Macaca mulatta: one gene and its partners. The protein of the gene in region 3 purifies or fractionates together with the protein of the main gene of each other region. This does not show direct contact. Links are inferred from orthologs where the notes say so. Each region holds a gene or a part of one and is shown on either strand. Other genes may lie near its edges.

Region 1 (5,687 bases), on a different chromosome or scaffold from region 3:
TTAATTTTTTTAATCGTCTGCCTTTCCAAATTTCTTTTTTGTGTATTTGAATTGGCTTTATCAGGTCTCTGGGTTTTCGTGTGTAGCATCGTATCGTTGTGCGAATCTGAGCTCGCTTTGCTCCTTTTTTGTGTGTTCTTGTGCGTCTGTGGGCTCCCCTTGTCCAGTCAGGTGGTGCCTCCACACAGGGACAGGTGGTTGCGGAGTCTCCTGGGGGAGCTCCTCCTGTTCTCCAGTGAGTAAGGTGCTGGCTTTAGTTCCAAAGTGTGTCAGTATATTTTTATCATGCTAAAGTATCACTTCCTTGTTTGTTTGTTTGTTTGTTTAATTTTTGAGACGGAGTTTCACTCTTGTTGCCCAGGCCGGAATGCAATGGCACGATCTCGGCTCACGGCAACCTCCGCCTCCCGGGTTCAAGTGATTCTCCGGCCTCAGCCTCTTGAGTAGCTGGGATTACAGGCATGCACCACCACATCCGGCTAATTTTGTATTTTTAGTAGAAACGGGGTTTCTCCATGTTGGTCGGGCTGGTCTCAAACTCCCGACCTCAGGTGATCCACCCGCCTTGGCCTCCCAAAGTGCTGGGATTATAGGCATGAGCCACCGCACCCAGCCCTCACTTCCTATTTTCTTGAGTATTTTTATCAAAAAGGCTATTGAATTTTTGTCAGACATTTTTGTCATCTGTGAAAAGAACCCCTTGACTTTTGGCCTGCTCTTACATGTAGTTTGTGGATAGATTTCCTAACCTTGAGCTAACCTTGCACTCCTGGAGTAAACCCCACTGAGTCACGGTCTGTTACTTTCTGTCCCTAATGTTTCATGTGGTCTTTTTATACCAGTGTTCCTAAGTGATGAGAGTTCTTTTTCATTGGCCCTTTTCAGACTCGAGCCTTATGCGGACCCTTATTATGACTATGAAATTGAGCGGTTTTGGCGTGGCGGACAGTATGAGAATTTCAGGGTGCAGTATACAGAAACAGAGCCGTACCATAATTACCGAGTAAGTATGACTTAAATATCCAGATATGAACTTCATGATCTGTTCATTAAAGTCATCCCTTTTTATTTATAGTAGAAAATATAGGGCTTTATATGAGCTTATAGAGTCAGCACAGTGTACCAATTTCAAAACCAAATTGATTGTTATGGAGAACTAATTCAGAGCCAGCGATTAAATCAGTGGTCATTTGAACAAGGACTTGCCTGAAAACTGGTTCTTGCTATAGTTTTGGGAGTTTTTTTTTTGGTTTTTGTTTTTTGTTTTTTGAGATGGGGTCTCACTCTGTCACCCAGGCTGGAGTGCACTGACGCAATCTCGGCTCACTGCAACCTCTACCTTCTGGGTTCAAGCGATTCTCCTGCCTCAGCCTCCTGAGTAGCTGGAACCACATGCATGCACCACCATGCCCAGCTAATTTTTTGTATTTTTTTTGTAAAGACAGGGTTTTACCATGTTTCCCAGGATGGTTTTGAACTCCTGAGCTCAAGCAATCCACTTGTCTCGGCCTCCCAGAGTGCTGGGATTACAGATGTGAGCCACTGCGCCTGTCCTGGTTTTTTCTTTTTCTTTCTTTCTTTCTTTTTTCTTTCTTTTTTTTTTTTTTTGGAGATGGAGTTAACTCTGTTGCCCAGGCTGGAGTCCAATGGCATGATCTCAGCTCACTGCAACCTCCACCTCCCAGGTTCAAGTGATTCTCCTGCCTCAGCCTCCTGAGTTGCTGGGATTACAGGTGCCCACCATCACACCTGGCTAATTTTTTGTATTTTTAATAGAGACGGGGTTTTGCCATGTTGGTCAGGCCGGTCTCAAACTCCCGACCTCAGGTGATCTGCCTGCCTCGGCCTCCCAAAGTGTTGGGATTACAGGTGTGAGCCCCGGAACCCAGCTCGGCCTGGTTTTGAAAATGAGATTTGCCAGTATACTTAATGATGCCTGTGTCTCCCTGATCGGGTGTGTCACTCTTCCCTGCCCCTCAGTGATCCCGTTTAGGATGTGGCGGCTGTTTTCATCTACTTCAGCCAGCTTGTTAAGTGTGTTCCTGCGGGCCTGCTGCACCTCACTCCTCTCATGGAAGACTGGTCTATACTGAGATTTCCTCCCTGGAAATCTCCCTGGTCTGAGCCTCAGTTTAGCGTATTGATGAATTAAGTGCTTCAGACTGTGAGTTCCTCATCTTAACTGTTAGGGTGATTTGACGAAGTGCTCCAGGGAAGGGTCCGTTAGAAGCTGCTGTGTAGTTCCTGCTCTGTGACTGCGGGGACAGTCATGAGCTTTGAGGACCAGGTGCGGCTGTCTCCTCAGGAGCCCATCAGGGTGAGCTCACCGAGAGGAGAGGGCCCTATTGTGCCGGAGAAGTCCCCCTGCTCGATCCTCTCGTGCCCCGTCTCTCCATAGAGCAGCTTCCTCATTGCAGGTGGGCTGCAGGGTCCTGCTCCCTACCCCTGGGCAGGGCACCCTGGAATGTGGGAGAAAGCCCCAGGAATCCCTTTCCACTGCGTTCTTCTCTGCTGTGTCTGAGGGAGGGGCAGCAGGGAGGCTGGGGGTGCACCCCACATCTCCCCAGCAGAGGCCTCGAGCCTGAAACTCGTCAGGTGCACTGTAATTGGACTTTATTCAGTTTTAACATTGAATATTAGAGCAAATGAATGAGTAAGAGCAAAGAGAAAGTTGGAAAGGGCATCTGAGGATTGTACTAGAAGAACAGGAGCAGCCTTTTGGATGCCCGCTCTGCTCCAGAGGCAGGGCATGTGCACTGCTGTGGCTGCACCCACCTGGGACAAGCCTGGAACTCCAGTCTCTGGATGGACGAATGGATTTGCCCAGGCCACATGGCAGAAGGCCATCTGTCCCAGCGGCATTGGGCTGTGACTGCAGAACTGCTGCCTTGAGTTAGTCTAGAATTGGCGGTTGGGATGATTTCACTCCTAGTTCGTGTTTGCTCTAATTTGGCATCTGACCCGGTTTTTAACATTGTGTTTTTTTTTTTTTTTTTTTTTTTTTTTTTTTTTTTTTTTTTTGAGAGGGAGTCTGGCTCTGTCGCCCAGGCTGGAGTGCAGTGGCCGGATCTCAGCTCACTGCAAGCTCCGCCTCCCGGGTTTACGCCATTCTCCTGCCTCAGCCTCCCGAGTAGCTGGGACTACAGGCGCCCGCCACCTCGCCCGGCTAGTTTTTTTTGTATTTTTTAGTAGAGATGGGGTTTCACCGTGTTAGCCAGGATGGTCTTGATCTCCTGACCTCGTGATCCGCCCGTCTCGGCCTCCCAAAGTGCTGGGATTACAGGCTTGAGCCACCGCGCCCGGCCTAACATTGTGTTTTAAGGAGAGAGTTGGGAATTAGATCCCCACTGGAGGGTGCTCCCTGATCCTGCCTCTCTCTTGCCATCTCCTCTGTACTCCACCGCAGAGTTCAGCCATAGTCGTGTGCACTTGGCGTTTTGTGTGTAGGTTTGTGGGGTTTAGGTGTGATTTTGTGACACAGATCGCGTGGTGTTGGAGCCAGGGCTTTCAGTGCCTCAGTCACCCAAATAACGCACTGTGTCCCCATGTGTTTGGCTTTTTAACAAAGGAAAGGGAGCGGGAGCGAGAGAGAGAGAACAGACAGCGCGAGCGCGAGCGGGAGCGGGAGCGGGACCGAGAGCGGGAGCGCCGGCAGAGGGAGCGTGAGCGAGAGCGGGAGCGTGAGCGCGACAAGGAGCGGCAGCGGAGGAAGGAGGAGTGGGAGCGTGAGCGAGCCAAGCGGGACGAGAAGGACCGGCAGCACCGTGACCGCGACCGGGAGAAGGAGCGGGAGAAGGAGAAGGGGAAACCCAAGCCCCGCTCCCCGCAGCCACCAAGGTAGACCGTGGTTCCCGAAGCCCAGGGGTGTGGGGAGTCCGGCACGCAGTCTGTACCTAGCCCCCCGAACTGCAGGTCCGGCACGCAGTCTGTACCTAGCCCCTCGACCTGCAGGTCCGGCACGCAGTCTGTACCTAGCCCCTCGACCTGTGCTTCCATTCTGCTGCCCACAGCTCTGGAGCCCAGGGGACGAGTGCAGGCCCACGGCCCGAACCTGTGGTTCCAAACCCAAAGCTCTCCGACGCAGGGCCTTTCTGTAAAACTCCCAAGGTGGTGACATCTGCCCTGAGCTCCTGGGAGGCTGTTCTTGTTCTAGGGGATCTCACTGATGTGAAAGTGCTTACAGTCCACATGCAAACATCAGTGTGCTTTAACAGACACTGCCCTTGTATACCACGCATGGTGTGTAACTCACACCCTGGGCGCCATGTTACTGTTCTCAGCAGAGTTCTGAATTCCAAAGCACGCCTGGCCCCCGGAGCTTGGGACTGGGCTCAGGTGCTGTGGGGCGTCCGTGTTGCTGGCCAGGGGGAGGCGCTCCAGCAGCCAGCATGCAGGGGAGGGCTGGGGTCCTGCCGTTTCCTTTGTGGAGTGGGTGCAGAATGATCCTTGCTGCCAGCTGCTGGGGGAACAGCGAAGACCCATGAGACAGGCAGGCGCTGGGGCTCGGGACAGCCGTTTTTTTCCTTCAAATATACTTGACTATTAAGAGCAGAATGGATGGGCCTCTGGACATTAGAGTACTGGATGATGTTTTTTGTGGGTGTTTCTTACAACTTTATTGAAATATAATTCATGTACCATGCAACATACCCATTTAAAGTGTACAATTCAGTGGTTTCTAGAATATTCAGAGTTGTGCAGCCATCATCACAATCAATATGGGAACACTTTTGTCTCCCAGAGTGAAACCTTGCGGTGGCTTACACTTGTATCCCTGCACTTTAAGGAGGTTGAGGCAAGTGGATTGCTTGAAGCCGGGAGTTTGAGATCAGCCTGGGTAGCAAAGCAAGACCCCATCTCTATTAAAAAAAAAAAGAAAATTAAAAATTAGCCGGGCGAGTTGGCATGAGCCTGTGGTTCCAGCTACTCAGGAGGCCAAGGCAGGAAGATTATGGGATCGCCTAGGTGTTGGAGGCTGCCATGAGCTACCCTTGCACAGCTGCACTCCAGCCTGGGTGACAGAGCGAGACCCTGTATCTTAAAAAAAAAATTGTTTTAAAAAAATTTAGGCTGGGCACGGTGGCTCACGCTTGTAATCCCAACACTTTGGGCGGCCAAGGTGGACAGATTGCTTGAGCTCAGGAGTTGGAGATCAGCCTGGGCAACATGGCAAAATCCCGTCTCTACAAAAAAATACAGAAAGTTAGGGCGTGGTAGTGCGCCACTGTGGTCCCAGCTACTCAGGAGGCTAATGCAGGAGGATTGCTTAAGCCCAGAAGGTTGAGTTGAGGTTGCAGTGAGCCGAGATTGTGCCATGGCACTCTAGCCTGGGTAACAGTAAGACTCTGTCAAAAAAAAAAAAAAGAAGAAGAAGAAACCTTGTACCCATCAGCAGTCACTCTCCACTTTGCCCACACTTCCCAGTCTCTTAGCAGCTTTGTGTCTCTAGGGATCTGCCCGTTCAGAACATTTTGTAGGAACAAGTGTGTGATATACATGGCCTTTTGTAACCGGCCTCTTTCACTTCGAGCGTTTTTAACATTTGTCCACACTGTGGCGTGGGTCAGTGCCTTACTCCTCCGTGGACACACTGCGTCGTGTTTCTCCCTTCCTCTGTTGATGGACATTGAGTTGTTTCCACCTCTTGGCTGTTGTGAATGTGAATTTGTGTGCAGGTTTTTGTGTGG
Region 2 (5,687 bases), on a different chromosome or scaffold from region 3:
AATTTTTCTCTTTTGCAAGTCAAAGTGTTACAAATTTTCATTACCACTATAAAAGGCACAAAATAAGCCTTCATCTCTCCTGAATATAACAATACTTATAAATTTAAGCAAACAAAATTTAACCCAATTAACAACTCACAAAGTAAATATGAAAGTTTAAAGAATGGAAGGGGGATTTATTAGAATCACATCTTTTCTTTTTTTTTTTTTTGAGATGGAGTCTTGCTCTGTCGCTAGGCTGGAATACAGCGGTTCGATCTAGGCTCACCGCAACCTCCGCCTCCCAGGTTGAAGCAATTCTCCTGTCTCAGCCTCCAGAGTAGCTGGGATTACAGGCGCATGACACCACACTGGGCTAATATTTGTATTTTTATTAGAGACAGGGTTTCACCATGTTGGTCAGGCTGGCCTCAAACTCCTGACCTCAGGTGATCCACCCGCCTCGGCCTCCCAAAGCGCTGGGATTACAGGTGCGAGCCACCGTGCCCAGTCAGAATCACGTATTTTCTATTATTTTCTATTCAATATAGAGTTGGCCCTCTGTATCTACAGGTTCCACATATCTAACCCCAGGATGAAAATATTAAGAACATAAAACAATACAAGAAAAAATACAAATTAAAAAACCAATACGGTATAACAACTTTTTACACAGCATTTACATTGTGTTAGGTATTGCAAGCAATCCAGAGATTATTTAAAATATGGGAAGATATGTGCTGGTTATGTGCAAACTCCACACCATTTTATATAAGGGACTTGGGCAGTCTTGGATTTTGGTATCCGGTGCGGGGGGATCCTCGAACCAATCCCCTGTGGACACCAAGAAACAACTTTGTATTTTTCAAATGGAGATACAAATGAAACCACAGCTTCAAATTTTCTCTACCAAATAAATATCTTTACAGGTTTGGCTAGGCCAATCTAGTATTCTGAGTAACTAAACAGCCTAAGAGAATGCAATCTTCATTTCCCTTAAACAAACAAACAAACAAACCCACAAAACTAACTGTACATAGCAATCTCAAAAGTTTTAGAAAGTTAGTAGAAATAACTTCACAAGCTACCTCAAGTTTTAAAAATCTATATGAGGCCGGGCATGGTGGCTCACATCCACATCTTTCCTGCAAAGCAAAAGTTACATGAAATCTACAAAGATTTTATACATTTACTTTTTTAAAAAATTAAAGAGAAAAACGAGGTTTTGCTAACCTTCCTTACATTTGGAATGAAAACTTGCTTTAAAAAAACAAAAAATACTCGCATCCAAAAAATCTAAATTTGGTAATGATGAATTTTAAAAAGACAAAAAAACTTCTACAATACTGAACAATCAAACGTAAGCACTTCCATGTAAGTATCTATTGATGTGGTAAAGGGAAAAGAAAAATGAGTAAAACTTTAAAAAAAAACCCTGTGTATTATGGAAATTTTCAAACATGAAATTAAAGAGATTATAAATTCTTAAGTCTCTGCTATCCAGTTTCAACCATTACCAACTCATGGGTAGTTCTGTTCTTCCCTCCCTCCCCTGCCTGGTACTGAATTGTTTCGAAGTAAATCCCAAAAATGACATCATCTTATCAGTAAATATTTCAGCATGTATCTCTAAAGTACTTTTTCTCAAGTTTAATTATTGCCTCCCCAACAAGGAGCCTTTTAATACATTTTTTCCGACACATGAAATTTTAACACTGTGCACAATATGAGCAAGATTTTTTTGCCCCCCAAAAGACCAACATTCGCTCCGTTTGGGGGGATATAGCCTCCACTGCGAATGCAAACTCTAGAGCATAACGACCTCTAAAATAGTAAACAAATCATACCATTCTCATGCCTACATTTTAATGGCAAATATCCAGTCGACAACTATGTTTTTAATGTTTTACATGTTGAGTTATTTCAAGGACATTGCCAATATCCAACATGCACACAACAGAAACAAAAGCAATTAGCATCCAGACTACATATGCCTGACACCTTCACAACCAACCCCAGCCCTCAATAAGTTACACCCAGCAGCTTAGGTATTCTGTGGAGCTTCTTCCCAAAGTGCTGCTTCCAAACTACCGCCAACAAACCAGTAGGAATGCTACTTAAAAATGCCCACTCCTGGGGCTCCAGTCTAAACTAGAGTTTACCAGAATATCAGGAGTATGGCTACACAATCAGCACCTTAAACAAGTTCTCACTCAATCTTAGACCTCCACTACTTAAGTTTGAAAACCAGTGTCACTGCTGGTTCAGAGTACCAGTTTTGCTTTGTTTGTTTGTTTTTTTGAGACAGAGCCTTTTTTTTTTTTTTTTTTTGAGACGGAGTCTCGCTCTGTCGCCCAGGCTGGAGTGCAGTGGCCGGATCTCAGCTCACTGCAAGCTCCGCCTCCCGGGTTCACGCCATTCTCCTGCCTCAGCCTCCCGAGTAGCTGGGACTACAGGCGCCCGCCACCTCGCCCGGCTAATTTTTTGTATTTTTTAGTAGAGACAGGGTTTCACCGTGTTAGCCAGGATGGTCTCAATCTCCTGACCTCGTGATCCGCCCATCTCGGCCTCCCAAAGTGCTGGGATTACAGGCTTGAGCCACCACGCCCGTCCTGAGACAGAGTCTTGCTGTGTCACTCAGGCTGGAGTGCAGTGGCGCAATCTCTGCCTCCCAGGTTCATGCCATTATCCTGCCTCAGCCTCCCGAGTAGCTGGGACTAAAGGCACCCACTCACCATGCCCAGCTAATTTTCTGTATTTTTAGTAGAGACGGGGTTTCACCGTGTTGGCCAGGACGGTCTCCCATCTCCTGACCTCATGATCTGCCTGCCTTGGCCTCCCAAAGTGCTGGGATTACAGGCGTGAGCCACCGTGCCCAACCCCACAGAGTACTGTTTTTCTTCATTCCTATCCCATGAAATGTTCCCATTCCCAGGAGCCAGGAGCAGCAAAGCGGCCTTAAACTCCTCATTCCTCTCCCCCTACAAATGTTTAACACCATTTACCCAATACAAAGGCAGAAGAGCAAGCTGAAACCAAACTCCTTGTCATCCTAATGAGCAACCCACTCTGGAGGCCTCTGCTCTCCTGCTCTGGGCTTGTCTTTACCTTTGCCTGAGTGAGAGCTGCCTTCTTCACCTGAAGCTGAGACTGCAGAAGTTTGAAGTTTTTGGACCAGCCTTCTGTTTTTGAGTCACTGGTCTCCACTCCTAGGTCATCGTACAGGGACATCTTTTCTTCAGTTTAATGCTGAAAGGCAAAAGGGGTGGGGATTAAAGAATGCACAATTCAATAAAGGCTTTTCATGTTAAAATAAAAATCACGAAATTTTAGAGGTAAAAGGTCCAGGACCTTTCAGCAACAGAGGCCAAGGCTCCTGGTACCATTAATGCAGGGTTCTTCCCGATATATGAAGCTACACCATGTATTATTTTTAAAATAAGGCTCTAGAATTCATTTTTCCATCTACAAGACCATGCAGTCAGGTGATCCATGAGTGAAATCCTTCAAAGCTAGGGCACATAATGAGGTAAGAATTGAGACATTATTAATTACATATATCCAATGTTTAAAAAATTCTATTCATGTCAGTGCCAAAAAGTAGAAGCCTTAAAAACACAAATTACCAGGTTGATTTAGCACAATTAGCTACCCTTTCATAAAGAAAAAATTTAAACATACTCTTAGGGAAAAAAGTGACAGAAATGACCTCTTAGATGTGATTTTGTCAATTACGATTATCGGCGGGGGGGGGGGGGGGGGGGCGGTGCTGGTTATATCTTAAATACTATGACTTCCTCATATCCCCCCCAAGTGGAAACTTGTCATCTTTAATGATAGCAATTACAAAGAGACAATCAACAATCTGCATGTGAACAAGCAACACACAGCTTCCGTGCAGAACAGAGGAACACGTGAAAACAAAAATCAAGTCAGCAGGCACAAAGCATGACATGCAATGCAGCATCGGCAGCAGGTCCCATGAAAGCCCAGCACTGTACAGACATGGATGCTGGGGTTTAGGGAATCAATCTGCCCAAGGCCACAGTGGAAGCCCCTTCCAACCCAGCCAGGCCAACTCCAGAGCCCTCACCAGTGAACCCCAACTGCCACTTTTAAAAAAAAACTCAACATTCCGAAACCCACCGACATGCTTACTTCTTCAAATAAGAAATCAATCTCACAGACAGAAAGAGAACATAATTTAAACAGAAACCCACAAGTTGCAAGCAAATGCTTAGCACAGTAGTTCCCAATTTATGGACAAATTCCCAAAGTCTGTCAGTTCCCAGGGGGCCCATAAAGCATTTTCCCATGGAAACAGTGTTATCGAAAAGCCTAATTTGCTTGTGTTCTGTGGCTCAGAAGAGAAGGAAAATATTTAACACACATCCTCCTTAGGTCTGACTCGGCAAGCATTTCTCTTGAAGGTACTCTTACTTCTCAGCTCCTCCATTACCAGGATTCTAACACCCTGCCACCCCAACACCTTAGCTGATGTTGGTACCACACTGTTTGGAGTGAGGGACGGAGTGCACACCAACTTCTGTTCCCTCAGAAGAACTGCCCTGGTCTTAAGTACAGGAACTCCCTGCCTGAAGTCAGCATCCAGAAAACTGGTACCACTTTTTAGTTTCTTCCATTCCTTCATAGGTGAACCCTCCGATTAATTAAAACCTCTCCCTTTTCCTTCATACGTGAACACTCCGATTAATTAAAACCTCTCCATTTTGATTTTTAAATGAAAGGCCCCCCAAGGCCGTACAGAAGCAGGGAAAGCAGACTGTCCAGGGGTATCGACGGCTGACTGCGCAAACGAATCACATTAAGAATGAAGGGATGGCGGCTGCGGTGGCTCACACCTGTAATCCCAGCACTTTGGGAGGCATAGGAGGGCGGATCACTTGAGGTCAGGAGTTCCAGATCAGCCTGGCCAACATGGTGAAACTCTGTCTCTATTAAAAATACAAAAATTAGCTGGGCGTGGTGGTGGACGACTGTAATTCCAGCTACTCGGGAGGCTGAAGCATGACAATCGCCTGAATCTGGGAGGCGGATGTTGCAGTAAGCCAAGATCACACCACTGCACTCCAGCCTGGGCGATAGATCGAGAGTCCGCCACCTCCCCTCCTCCCGCCCCCGCCAAAAAAAAGAATGAAGGGATGCTGGGATGCAGACAGACTCTCCTCCTGATTGACATCTTCATTGCCAAACTGCACTTTCTCAGGAACTTGGGGATGACGTCTCATGACACAGGCCTGAAGCACTGAGGCCAAATCAGGAAAAAATAATGAACTCCATTCTTTAACAAATATGGCTGAAATATAACCATGTCCTCAAAGTCTTGGAGGGAATCTCCTGATGTCCACTTCAGAGCCTAGTTTAATAACTCTGAACTCCAAGAAAACCTAGATCCAGTTTGTTTTGTTCACTGCTCTATCCTCAGACTAAGATCAATATCCAACCCACAGCTAAATAGGAAATGAGGCCAAACTGCAGTTTATACTCCATTTACAAAGCCCTCTCAATTAGAAATTTCTGGCCAGCAATCACTGGCCAGAAGGAAGAACACCACACCAAATAGCTTTTGAGGTTTTTGTACACTTTTCTTCCGGCTTACCCAGAACTCAAAACTCATTGTTCACATCTAGATACATATCCTTAAATTTTAATCTAAAAACACTCAAACAGCAACAGTAAAGAAAAAC
Region 3 (5,934 bases):
GGTCGGCTACTCCATGCGGGGGCTCCTGGAACCTCAGCGAAGGTGTGGGCTCCCAGGTCACTGCAGCCAGGACAGCAGGGGACGCCTGAGCCATTGAAGGCCAGGCCCGTCCCACACTCCCCTGGGAGTCTTTGGGATCCGTCCCTGCTGCTCTGGCCACTGTGCAGGGGGCCTTGAGCGGGGGACCTAGTGTCCCTCTTCACTGCCTTCCTGCAGCCAGGGAGCGGTGACCGCCCGGGCAGGCAGAGGCTGCGTCTGAGGCTGTGGGTGGGGCTGCCGCCCTGGGGTCTCTGGGTTAGGGCGCCCGATGAAGCCCCTTCCCCGCAGGGAGTCTCTCAGGCCAGTGGCCCCGAGAACAGGCTGGCCAGGTGTGGGGCGGTGGGGAGGAGGGTTCCACTGGCCCCGAGCCACAGGGTGGTTTCTTCACGGGTGGCGAGAAGACAGCAGCTCTCTCCCTGCCGCTGTGGCAGGGGCTGGTCTAAGAGCTGGGCTTCAGGGACAGGACAGAGCGCGGTGCCCACCTTCCAGGCCATGGACCCACAGCCCAGTCCCAGAACAAGACCACAGCCTCCCTGCCCAGGGTGTGGGCTCTGCCAGCCCTTGATCTTCCCTAAGAGGACCTGGCCCACCTGAAGGAGGCCGGCGGTGCCAAGCTCGGGGCTGGGCCCCACGTACCTTCCTCCAGGTGCAGGACCACCAGGCGCTGCCCCCCAGGGTCCCGCAGCCAGGCCCCCAGCCGCTGTAGAGAGGGCAAGGCAGCCTGCCTGTCACCGGGGGTGCACACCCCAAAGGTGGCCAGGTCTCGGGGGCCCCAGTGGGCCCGCTGCACGGCCCCCAGGAAGGCCCGCTCATAGGCGCTCAGAACTCCCATGACCTGCAGGGGGGTGCCGCTGCCATTGCTGTCCCCACCCAGTGCCACCAGGCACAGAGGCTCTTGTGGGCTGCCTGGCGGCCAGTCCAGGTCTTCTCGGAAGATGAGGCCACCGGTGCCCACAGCTGGTTCTTCTGCTCTGAGGGCCTCAGTCCCCAGCAGAGCCCCCAGGGCGGACAGTACCAGGGTCAGGCTGGTGAGAGGCAGGTCCCGCGTCATGGGTGCTGCCAGGAGCTGGGCTGCCCGCCTTGTGGAAGCCGAGTGGAAGGTAGGGTGTTTGTAAAGGACAGGCCCCTATCTCCTCTGCCGCGACCTTGGGGGACAGTGCCCGGCGCCCCCACTCCAGGCAGAGTGGCCTTCTCAAAGAGCCCTTTCTGTCGCCAGCAGCCTATCTCCCTCCCCACAGCGATAGAGCTGGGCCTGATTTGTCAACATGCTGTCCTTGAGGGCCCGTCCCCAGAAGGCACAGGAGTGGGAACCAGGCTGGGAGTGATGGCCAAGCAGCCAGACTAGACAGCGCTGGGGGCGGGGGGCCCAGATGTCCTGGGTGCTAAGGGGTGGGCCTGGAGGAGGAGGGTCCCAAGTCAGTGGGGGCGCCCTGTCCCTGCTCACCTTCCCAACCCCTGGTGGGCTATCTGGAGACCCCAAGGATATCACAAGAGTCTGCTCTTCCCTCCCCAGGACAGGACCCCAGACCCCCTCCTAGCTGGCTGGTGGAGTCTGTCCTCCACCAGGCCACCTCCAAGGTACAGCTGTCTCTCAGGCCTCCCACAGGTGTCTCCCGGCAGGCCCCAGGCCCTCCCCAGTCGGCGCAAACTCAGGGATGGTGCTGTGCCTGGCACTCCCACACAGCACTGACAAGGGAGGGCGGCGCTGCAGACATCAGTGCACTCGGGGCTGGGGAAGGCTGTTTAATGAGCAGGGGGCGGTACAAAAGAGCAGCCTTCTCTCGATGGCAAAAGGCAGGAGCACCTGGCGCTGAGCTTGCTGGGGGAGGGAGCAGCTTCTCAGTTGGTTGGGGGAGGGGGAGGTATGTTCCCTGGGCCTTCGGAGGGGAGTGGGGGCCTCAGCATTGGGGGCATGGGAGTTGGGGGGTGTACCCCAGGATTTGAGGGGTGAACTCCAGGAGGCTGAGGGTGGACCCCAGGAGCTGATGGATGGACCCCGGGAGGTTGGGGGTGGACTCCCGGGGCCTGAGGGTGCATCCCTGGGGCTGGTGGGTGCACCCCCGGGGCCTGAGGGTGAACAGCAGGGGCTGCTGGGTGTACCCCTGGGGCCTGGGGGTGAACCCCCGCTGATGGGGGAGGATGGACCCCCGGGGCTGGTGGGTGGACTCCGGGGGCTGGTGGGTGAACCCCGGGGGCTGGAGGGTGAACCCCGGGGGCTGGAGGGTGGACTCCGGGAGCCGGGGGGTGGACCCCAGAGGTTGGTGGGTGGACCCCAGGGGCTGGGGGATGGACGCCAGGAGCTGGGGGATGGACCCCAGGAGCTGGGGGATGGACGCCAGGAGCTGGGGGATGGACGCCAGAGGTGGGGGGATGCACCACTGGGGCCGGGGGGTGGACCCCTGGAGCTGGTGGGGGTAGCTGGGGTGGTCCCGGGGGCCCTGAGGGTGCAGGCCCCGTGGGGGGCATGGGTGGCAGAGGTAGGCCTCCCGGCGGTGGCGGTGGCAAAGACTCGGGCAGCGGTGGCCGAGGGGGCAGACCATTCATCAGCGGAGGTGGAGGCCGCTTCACCCCAGGGGGGCCGGCGGGGAGGCTGGGCGGAGCCGGGGGCTTCTCCATCTTAAAGTGGAACTGGAGGAAGAACTAGAGAGACGGAGAAAGGTTCAGCAGGCACGGGCAGGGCTAGGGCCACCGGGGCTGGGCAGGAAGGAGCCAAGCTCAGGGCTAGCCACTCACCTGCTTGGTCTCCCGGTTCCAGTGTGTCCAGAACTTGCCCTCCGCCTTGTCAATCTCTCTGCTCGGCACCTGGGAAGGCGGGGGACAGAGAGGGCTCCTGGTCCCTGTGACCTCAGGGTAGCCATCAGGCAGGGAGCCTGAGGCGTTAGCCTCCCCGGCCCGGACTCCACCCTGGGAGCCCAAGAGAAGGCCCCGGCCTGGTAAGACTTTCGATGGGCACAGGGTTCAGTTCTGGAGTGACACAGACCCGGCCTCCACGCTAGCACACGCTGGCCCCCGCCCTGGACAGGCACCGTTTGTATTGTTTCCTGATGGCTGCTTTGTCCAGGCGTAGGCACAGGCTGTGGGAAGCCCTCCAGCAGCCTAGACCAAGAAGCGAGGTCACTTGGCGAAGGCCTCACAGGCCCAGCGCTCAGCCCTGCCGGCCTCCCTTCTCCATGGGCACAGTGGAGCCCAAGCAGGCCCCCTCCTGCAAAGCCCAATGGGAGGGGTACCCTGCCCAGCCTGCACAGACCCTTCTGGCTCCGTCTCGGGGATCCCAGGGGACCCCACAGCCTGATAGGAGGGGCGCCCTGCCCAGCCTGTGCAGATCCTTCTGGCTCGCACATCTCAGGGGGCCCTGGGGCCCAGGGGACCCCGCAGCCATGCTACCTTGAAGGCGATGGTCTCATAGGGCTCAGCGGCCATGAGCAGGTACTGCCAGCGCCGGTCCGGAGGCTCAATCCTCTGCTCGTACGCAGACATGAAGCGGTGGCGTGGCATGATGCCCTCGGCGATCTCAGGGTAGTCGATCTGTGGGGACACAGCCGGGTGGCAGCGCCACCTTTCAGGTGCCTTCGGCCGCCCCCCACACCCAAGCCCCTGATCTCACCTGGAAGAGGAGGCTCTGCTGGCCCATCTCCGAGTCCCTCTGCTTGGTCACTGCAACACAGAAAGCTCTCAGGTCCCGGCTGCTTGTCCTCCCCAAAGCTGAGGGACCTGGGGCAGGCTAATGCCACCCACTGAACGAGGGCGAGACCCCAGGGGAGGCCCTGTGGCTCCAGGCAACCGCCAATCCGCCCAGGCTCTGGGACTCTGGTATAGGTGAAGGCACAGGTGCGCCAGGGCTGAGCTACCTGCGGAGTCACTCGGGCAGGGACCGAGGGTGGTACTCCTTTGTCCTAATCCCCAGAGCCCTTCACCCAGGGTGCTGGGACACTATCCAGCAGGAGTCGGGGCCACTGGGTAGGGAGCGGCCCATGGCACCCTGGCTCTGGGATTAGAGTGGGGCCGCCTGAACAGGGCCAACACCATCTATAGGGTGAGCGGGAGAGGATGCCTTTCCCACCAGAGCTCAGCAGCCTGGACCCCGAGAATGGCTGCTGGGCCGCCTACGGCCTGGCCACTCTCCAAGCAGCCTCAGACACGCACACTCACAAGCCCTCCACCTCCTCACTGCCCTGAGCCCAAGCTCAGGACCTGTCAGGGCCTCCCCACCAGGAGTCTGCCGCTCTAGCCACCCTCGTCCACCCAGCACACCTGCCCCGGGGCCTGTGCCCTGCAGGCTCCTGTCTGGAGGCCAGGCACACAGGCTGTCCCCATCTTCCGTAAAGAACATTTGCTGGGGCCGGGCGCGGTGGCTCATGCCTGTAATCCCAACACTGTGGGAGGCCGAGACGGGTGGATCACGAGGTCAGGAGATCGAGATCATCCTGACTAACATGGTGAAACGCCGTCTCTACTAAAAATACAAAAATTAACCGGGCGAGGTGGCGGGCGCCTGTAGTCCCAGCTACTCGGGAGGCTGAGGCAGGAGAATGGTGTGAACCCGGGAGGTGGAGCTTGCAGTGAGTGGAGATCACGCCACTGCACTCCAGCCTGGGCAACAGAGCGAGACTCTGTCTCAAAAAAAAAAAAAAAAAAAACACTTGCTGGGTAGCGTGCCCGCCTTCCTGACCCTACAGACACAAGGTCTGTCTCTTCCACCCTGGCCGCTTCCCTGGCTTTCTGAACCAGGTCACCTCCTGCCATTCCCACTGCTGAGGGTCCCGGAGGAGCCGCCTCTAACAGCCGCTTCTTCCTGTCCTCCTTCAGAGGCTTCAAGGTTAACCGGAGGAGTGTGCCAGGGCTCACCACACCTCCACTTCCACTCTTTGGCTTGGCAAGACTCCCCAGAAGCTTCCACAACACTCGGACAGGAGGGCACAGACTGTGGCTCAGCTGGGAAAGGGGCCGCTGGGTGAGACGGGTGCTTATCGGGCTCAGCCTGACAGCTCCCAGACACAACGCCAGAGGCTGCAGGTGGGTGAGGGATGGCCACCAAGGCCAGAAAACAGCGGCTCAGGAATGAGGGTCTCAGGGCTGCGCCTCCTGCACTGGAGCCCAAAGAACCTATTCATGCAGCAGCAGCGGCTGTGGCCAGCGCCGCTCCGGGCACTCACCTTTGTAGCCTGGGCGGCCGATCTTCACAAACTTCTTCACCTCCACCTTGACCTTCTCAGGTGCAGGCTGGGCAGGGGCCTCCTTGGCCTCCTTGGCGGCTCGCCGGGCCCTGCAGGCAGGATGGACGTGGTGCTGGGGCCCCTCCACACACAGGCACCAAGGCCACGGGCCCCCTGACCTTGGAGCTCACTATAAACTGAGGGATGAGGAGGGCCAGGGGCCTGGGAGGGGCCCTGGGGTTTGGCTGAGAACAGGGATAGGACAGGCACGTTCTCTTCCTGTCATGCTCCTCACTGTCCCTGGCTGGGGTCCTACCAACAACTCCATGCCTCTGCTTTTTTTTTTTTTTTTTGAGACCGAGTTTTGCTCTTGTGGCCCAGGCTGGAGTGCAGTGGCGCGATCTTGGCTCACCGCAACCTCCATCTCCCAGGTTCAAGCGATTCTCCTGCCTCAGCCTCCCCAGTAGCTGAGATTACAGGCATGCACCACCAAGCCCGACTAATTTTTTGTATTTTTAGTAGAGATGGGGTTTCTCCATGTTGGTCAGGCTGGTCTTGCCCTCCTGACCTCAGGTGATCTGCCCGCCTTGGTCTCCCAAAGTGCTGGGATTATAGGCGTGAGCCACTGCGCTCGGCCTTTCTTCTTTTTTTTTTTTTTAAATAAGACTGAGTCTCGCTCTGTCGCCCAGGCTGGAGTGCAGTGGCGCCATCTCGGTTCATTGCAACCTCTTCCTCCCAGATT
Region 4 (5,687 bases), on a different chromosome or scaffold from region 3:
ATAAGCCAGGCACAGAAACACAAGTACTGCATGCTCTCTCTCATATATGGGAGCTAAAAAATAAATGATCTTGAGAGTTGAATGATGGCTAATAGAGGTTGGGAAGAATAGTAGGGAGGCAGAGGATAAAGAGGGAGTGGATAATGGGTATAAAAATACAGTTAGATAAAGGGAGTAAGATTTAGTGTTTGGTAGCACTAGTTTGGCTAGTTAGCTTGGTAGCACAATAGGGTGACTATAGCTAAGAATAATTTATTGTATATATCAAAATAACTAGAAGAGTAAAATGAAATGTTCCTAATACAAAGAAATAATATCCCAATTACCATGGAGATAAATATCCCCATTACTGTGATTTGATCATTCCACATTGTATGCTTTTTTTTCTTTGTTTCTTGTTTTGAGATAGGGTGTCACTGTGTTGCCCAGGCTGGAGTGCAGCAGTGTGATCCCGGCTCACTGCAACCTCCGCCTCCTGAGCCCAAGTGATCCTCCCACTTCAGCCTCTGGAGTAGCTGGAACTACAGGTGTGCACCACCACACATAGCTAATTTTTGTATTTTTTGTAGACGGGATTTTGTGGTGTTGCCCAGGCTGGTACTGAACTCCTGGACTCAAGAGATCCACTTGCCTAGGCCTCCCAAAGTACTGGGATTATAGGCATGAGCCACCATACCTGGCCTACACACTGTATGCTTGTATCAGATTTGATATGTAGCCCATAAATATGCACATCTATTATGTTAGCCATAAAAATTAAAAATAAATTAGAACTGAAATTATTGAAAAAAAATAAGACAACTATAGTGATAGAAAACAGATCAGTGATTGTCAGAGGTGAAGGAAGATATAACTACAAAAAAATAGCACAGGGGTGTTTTTTGAGGTGACGTAATGTCTATATCCTAATTGTGGTAGTGGTTACCCAAATCAATACATCTATTACAATTCATTAGACCTGTATGTCAAACAAAAAGCTCTTGCTGTACAATCATTTGAAAAATAAAAATTTTAAAATATATATTAAATTACGTGTAGTTGTACATTTTCTACTATGTACACTTTCTTAAAATTTTGTGTTTTTGTGGGTACGCAGTAGAAATATATTTATGGGGAAAATATATATTAAATTACGTGTAGTTGTACATTTTCTACTATGTACACTTTCTTTTTTAAAATTTTGTGTTTAATTTTTGTGGGTACGCAGTAGAAATATATTTATGGGGTACATGAGATATTTTGATACAGGCAAGCAATGCAAAATAAACAGTATGGAACACTTTACGAATCTGTGTTATCCTTACAGAAGGGCCATGCTCATCTTCTCTGTACTGTTCCAATGTTAGCATATGGGCTGCTGAAGTGAGCACGCAGGTCCATTTTCTTTTAGATGATACACTCTGACTCATTTTAATTTATTGTAGTTGAAAGAATAACTGGTAGGCCCAAAGAATTTCTTTATATGGTGTTTCCCCTTTCACCTTCAAACTAAATACTTTGAACACTTTCTAAATTTATTTAGTCTGCAATCCATATTTAGTAGCTTTATCTTGACATTTTATATGATTTTATATAAAATACAAGTGTAACTTTTACTTAAGGAAGTCGCCTTCCCAAGAGATCTTTTAAGATACTCCCTAAGACTCTTCTCAATCCACCTCAGATTGCTCTACCGGTTTTTCATATTCACTCTTTTTCCTCCTTACTCTATTCTTCAGTGCTTGTCAACTAGAAAGCAATCATGATTCACATAATAAAATAAATGCAGAGTCACTCACCCTGTAGAGTTTCCACGGTGGGTGCCACTGGGGTTTTGGCATTGTAGGGGCTTTTTTAGCCATCAGTGCAGAGTTCTTGGTATTGCCGGTCTCCATGACAATCTAGACATAGAAGAGACATTATTATTATTAAAGATATCATACCGAAGACTTTGTATCAATTCAGAAATGGAAATGGAAAGAGGGAACTTACAAAAGATTTTTTCCATAAACGAAGAAATAAAATTTTCTGTATGTTAATTTTAAAAAGCAATTATAAAATCAGAGAGAGGCAGAACATTAGACTTAAGAACACACATCACTGTGTATGGGTTCAAATCCCAGCTTGGCCCATTACTAGCTGTTTGACAGTAGGTAACAATTACGTAACCTCTATGTGCCTCACCTATGAAATGGGAAGAATAGTGCCTATTTCATAGGGTTACTACAAAGATGTAAAAAGTAGTAAATGCTCCATGTAAGCTCGCATTATTAAAATCATTTTAAGTGTATTAATGCCACTGCCATTCATTGTCATATTTTAACCTTATGGATTTAATGTAGCAAAGACTGATATGATAGTTCCTTCTATTTATCTTCTAATACAATATTTAAATACTATTTTAACAGGTGTACTGCCTGATATACCATCTATTGTTAGCAGTCATCTAGTCATCCAAAAAATAATTAAGCCCATAAAGTTCCTGCCCTCAAGAAGCTTAAATTACACCCTCATAAGGAGGGTAGAGAGCCTGGACAGAAGATATGCTCTGAATGGAAGATAAAGGAAGAAATGAGACGTGGGGGTTACACATTCATTCACTTCATGAAGTCAAAACAATTGCATAATGAGCTGAGAAGCAAAGCCAGCACTTATTTCAAGTGGCAGCATAATAAAATACATGGCAGAAAAATAAATCAATAAAATAACTATAGAAAATAATTCTACAACTACTTCTACCATACTAATACCAGTTGCCATTTACCTACAGATAAACTTATTTCTAAATGTTCATTTATAAGACTAGTTGTATAGCCCATGAATAGTACAACACTAATAGCACTCAACATAACTGTACCAACTTAAAATTTAATAAAAAAAAAAAAAGACTTTCATATGCAATGCATACTAACACAGGTTTCAGAAAAACTCTCCTTGCATTTTTAATAGTGGGCAATAAATACCAACATCACATTATCTTTATCAAAATACATATTATACACAATGTACAATTAGACAAATAACAGCATTCCAAAAAATGTTAATTTACTACCAACTTGAGTGTTAGGGCTATGAAATATGAATGACTAGCTCAGGCTGCTATTTATCTTAATAATTCCAAAGTGTTCATTTCTTTAGTATTTAAGGTAAGACTTTCGATCAGAGGGAAATAAGGCAACATGTTTAAAAAGTTAGAAACCTGCTATCTGACGCAGAAAAACTTACTGAATTCATCGCTGTAGGCTGTGGACGGTCAGAAGCCCCAGGATGTCGGTATTCACTTCCACTAGGTGCAGTACGATTTACATCAGTCCTGAGGCAAAAGAAATATTATATTCAAAGTAATTAATGCCTCCAGTCATGTATTCTGCAAAACTAACCCTTTATTTTAAATTGTTATAAGTCCTGATAAAGGAAAATGTCATACAATAGTTATAAAAAAATTTTAAAAAGAAAAAACGTGAACAGTGAAATATGCTTTTAAGATCTTTGTAATTATAATATTTCATACTTGGTCTGAGAAGGTAATGCCACTGCTAAGGACTGTGCAGCTGATTCACTTGGCATTCTCTGGATCTTAGTATCTGCTGTCAAAGCAACCCCTATTAAAATGAAAAATCAATTTCTTTTAGTAGCTTTGTATTATTCATTTACATGCACTTAAAATAAAATGATGAAGGAAAACATTCCAAACGTTTATTAATTCCAGGCAGTGATACAAATTTTGATTAAGTTTTGCTCATCTTGTTTTTAATTTCTACAATAAATACTGCTTAGTAACACATAACTCAAATTTGATCACAGCCTACAAGGTATTAAAGCAGCCCAGAACAGTAAAGTTAATTTCCATTATATCTGGGTATTAGTTTCAAAAGTCAGTATTAAGCAGTTCCTCAAATACAAACAGAATGTTTCCAAGAGTGGTTGTAACTTACTACAACCAGAAGCACCCAATTTTCCTGCACTTTCTATATATACTAAGCCTTTTGTCCTCTACCCGGTTATACTGGCCACTCCATCTGTGGGCCAATACCTTAATACAGACAGAGGACATGTTTCTAAGATACTGCCTCTAACATTCCCATCATTTTTATAAGCTTGGTGATATTTACATGTCTGCCTAAACCACCAGATAATAAATTTGTCTAGGCCTGCAACAGTTTTACTCTTTGAATTCCTAGCACATTGCCTGAAAAATTATACATACTCAAGAATGTTTGCTGAATAAAGGCACATGAGTATTCATTATCACCTACAAAGCTATGCACGGATGCTTGGCTATTGAACTTATCTTGCATTTCACAGGCAACAAGAATGTCATTATTGGCTCGTTAGTGAAAATGTATGTGACATTTTTAAGACATTTTCAATATACAACAGCTCACTAACCAGGTCCCGGTGGGTATGGATGTGTGCCTGCCACAAAGTATTCAACTTCTTGTCCTAGAAAAAAGACAAAAAAAATCAACAGTAGTGAATTTATCTTATATATAAAAGTTATCATCTCTTTAAAGTATCAAATAATATTACATTTTCAACTGGATCTATCACATTTTCTCAACTAAAGTTAAGCCTCAGAAATAAGGGAAATTGGTCACTTTTGATCTCTGTAAACCATGTCCTTGTCCATTTGCTATATAGCAATGGTATACAAAGAAGCCCTCCTATCAAGTGATAATCCACTCTGGTATTTCTTCCAAGCAAATTTCCTGTGGAAGCTTGAATTCTCTTCATTTATTAAGATTTCAGTATTTAATTTCATCTTTCTGAATTACAGACAGGATAGATGGTATCCCCACAGGTTAAGAATATTCTCCAATTTTTTCCTTTAATCTCTACTGTGACCTTCTCCACATTCTAAGAATCTCTGCCATCATTATACTACCATTTTTATTTCCTATAAGAAAAAAGTCATCAACCAATGTCTCAGTATTCCCACGAGGATAAAAACTTCCATTATAATACTGGTACAGCCATTAAATACTGTATGACCACACCTAAGTCCTGCCAGCAGGGGCAAAAATAACACATTTTATTTTTCTATTTTTAAAATTCACACATACGTCTGACATTTCTGATAATACCATACTCACCTTGATTGGCAGGGTACTGTTTATGAACATATGAATCCGTTGCATTCTGAGGACCCTTCTCTTTAAGATTTTCTTTCAAAGTAGGCATATGCAACACAGGACCATACTCATTACGAAGCTTGATTGCCATCTTCCGTTTGTGACTATTTAGAAATTATAAACATAAGAACGTATCCATAAATACTTTAAAACAAACACTTAGACAGCTTAAGTTTGCCCAATCATGTAGGAAAAGTTTCTAGTAAGATTTTAAGTAGTATTTAAAAGAATCAAAAATTTCCAAGTGCATTTCCCCACCATATCTGTTCTTTTGCTCACATTCCACCACACAGCATTCATTAAACCTAAGTAATATTTTAGTTTGTTACCTAATAGAAAATATTTTATGATAAATTATCAAGGGTCTGCTTGAAAGATATATAGAAACTAACATACCCTTTAAGAAACCTCAAAGTCAATACGCTTTCCTTCAAAATATAAATATAGTAAAAACTCTATAGCAACCTTTACTAGATGTATCCAAACAGGTTAGTTAGAACTAAGAAAAGTACTTAATTGGTTCAATATTTTAAAAAGAAATGCACTTATATTACTTTTAAAAATAGTCTACTTTAC

What was found.
Region 1: the proteins of SF3A2 (region 3) and ZC3H18 purify together in Homo sapiens (affinity purification with mass spectrometry; 3 studies listed by BioGRID and IntAct, with this or other methods). This does not show direct contact. The link is inferred for Macaca mulatta from reciprocal best matches to the Homo sapiens genes SF3A2 and ZC3H18.
Region 2: the proteins of SF3A2 (region 3) and RBM17 purify together in Homo sapiens (affinity purification with mass spectrometry; 4 studies listed by BioGRID and IntAct, counting the BioPlex papers as one, with this or other methods). This does not show direct contact. The link is inferred for Macaca mulatta from reciprocal best matches to the Homo sapiens genes SF3A2 and RBM17.
Region 4: the proteins of SF3A2 (region 3) and PLRG1 purify together in Homo sapiens (affinity purification with mass spectrometry; 3 studies listed by BioGRID and IntAct, with this or other methods). This does not show direct contact. The link is inferred for Macaca mulatta from reciprocal best matches to the Homo sapiens genes SF3A2 and PLRG1.

Annotation. Positions count from the first base shown.
Region 1 is NC_133425.1:83,995,531-84,001,217, forward strand, and holds part of ZC3H18 (zinc finger CCCH domain-containing protein 18), read left to right. Parts: intron 1-885; coding exon 886-1,003; intron 1,004-3,568; coding exon 3,569-3,837; intron 3,838-5,687.
Region 2 is NC_133414.1:7,673,608-7,679,294, reverse strand, and holds part of RBM17 (splicing factor 45), read right to left. Parts: intron 3,229-5,687; 5' UTR 3,211-3,228; coding exon 3,088-3,210; intron 1-3,087. UniProt on the Homo sapiens protein: Splice factor that binds to the single-stranded 3'AG at the exon/intron border and promotes its utilization in the second catalytic step. Involved in the regulation of alternative splicing and the utilization of cryptic splice sites.
Region 3 is NC_133424.1:2,993,117-2,999,050, reverse strand, and holds the end of SF3A2 (splicing factor 3A subunit 2), read right to left. Parts: intron 5,326-5,934; coding exon of another isoform or gene 5,303-5,325; coding exon 5,193-5,302; intron 3,694-5,192; coding exon 3,644-3,693; intron 3,565-3,643; coding exon 3,424-3,564; intron 2,842-3,423; coding exon 2,773-2,841; intron 2,680-2,772; coding exon 1,879-2,679; 3' UTR 1,768-1,878; downstream 1-1,767. Other genes in the region: AMH (muellerian-inhibiting factor), read right to left, coding at 1-60, 676-1,090. UniProt on the Homo sapiens protein: Component of the 17S U2 SnRNP complex of the spliceosome, a large ribonucleoprotein complex that removes introns from transcribed pre-mRNAs.
Region 4 is NC_133410.1:163,138,618-163,144,304, forward strand, and holds part of PLRG1 (pleiotropic regulator 1), read right to left. Parts: intron 5,216-5,687; coding exon 5,073-5,215; intron 4,423-5,072; coding exon 4,369-4,422; intron 3,582-4,368; coding exon 3,491-3,581; intron 3,293-3,490; coding exon 3,205-3,292; intron 1,881-3,204; coding exon 1,779-1,880; intron 1,371-1,778; exon of another isoform or gene 1,266-1,370; intron 1-1,265. UniProt on the Homo sapiens protein: Involved in pre-mRNA splicing as component of the spliceosome. Component of the PRP19-CDC5L complex that forms an integral part of the spliceosome and is required for activating pre-mRNA splicing.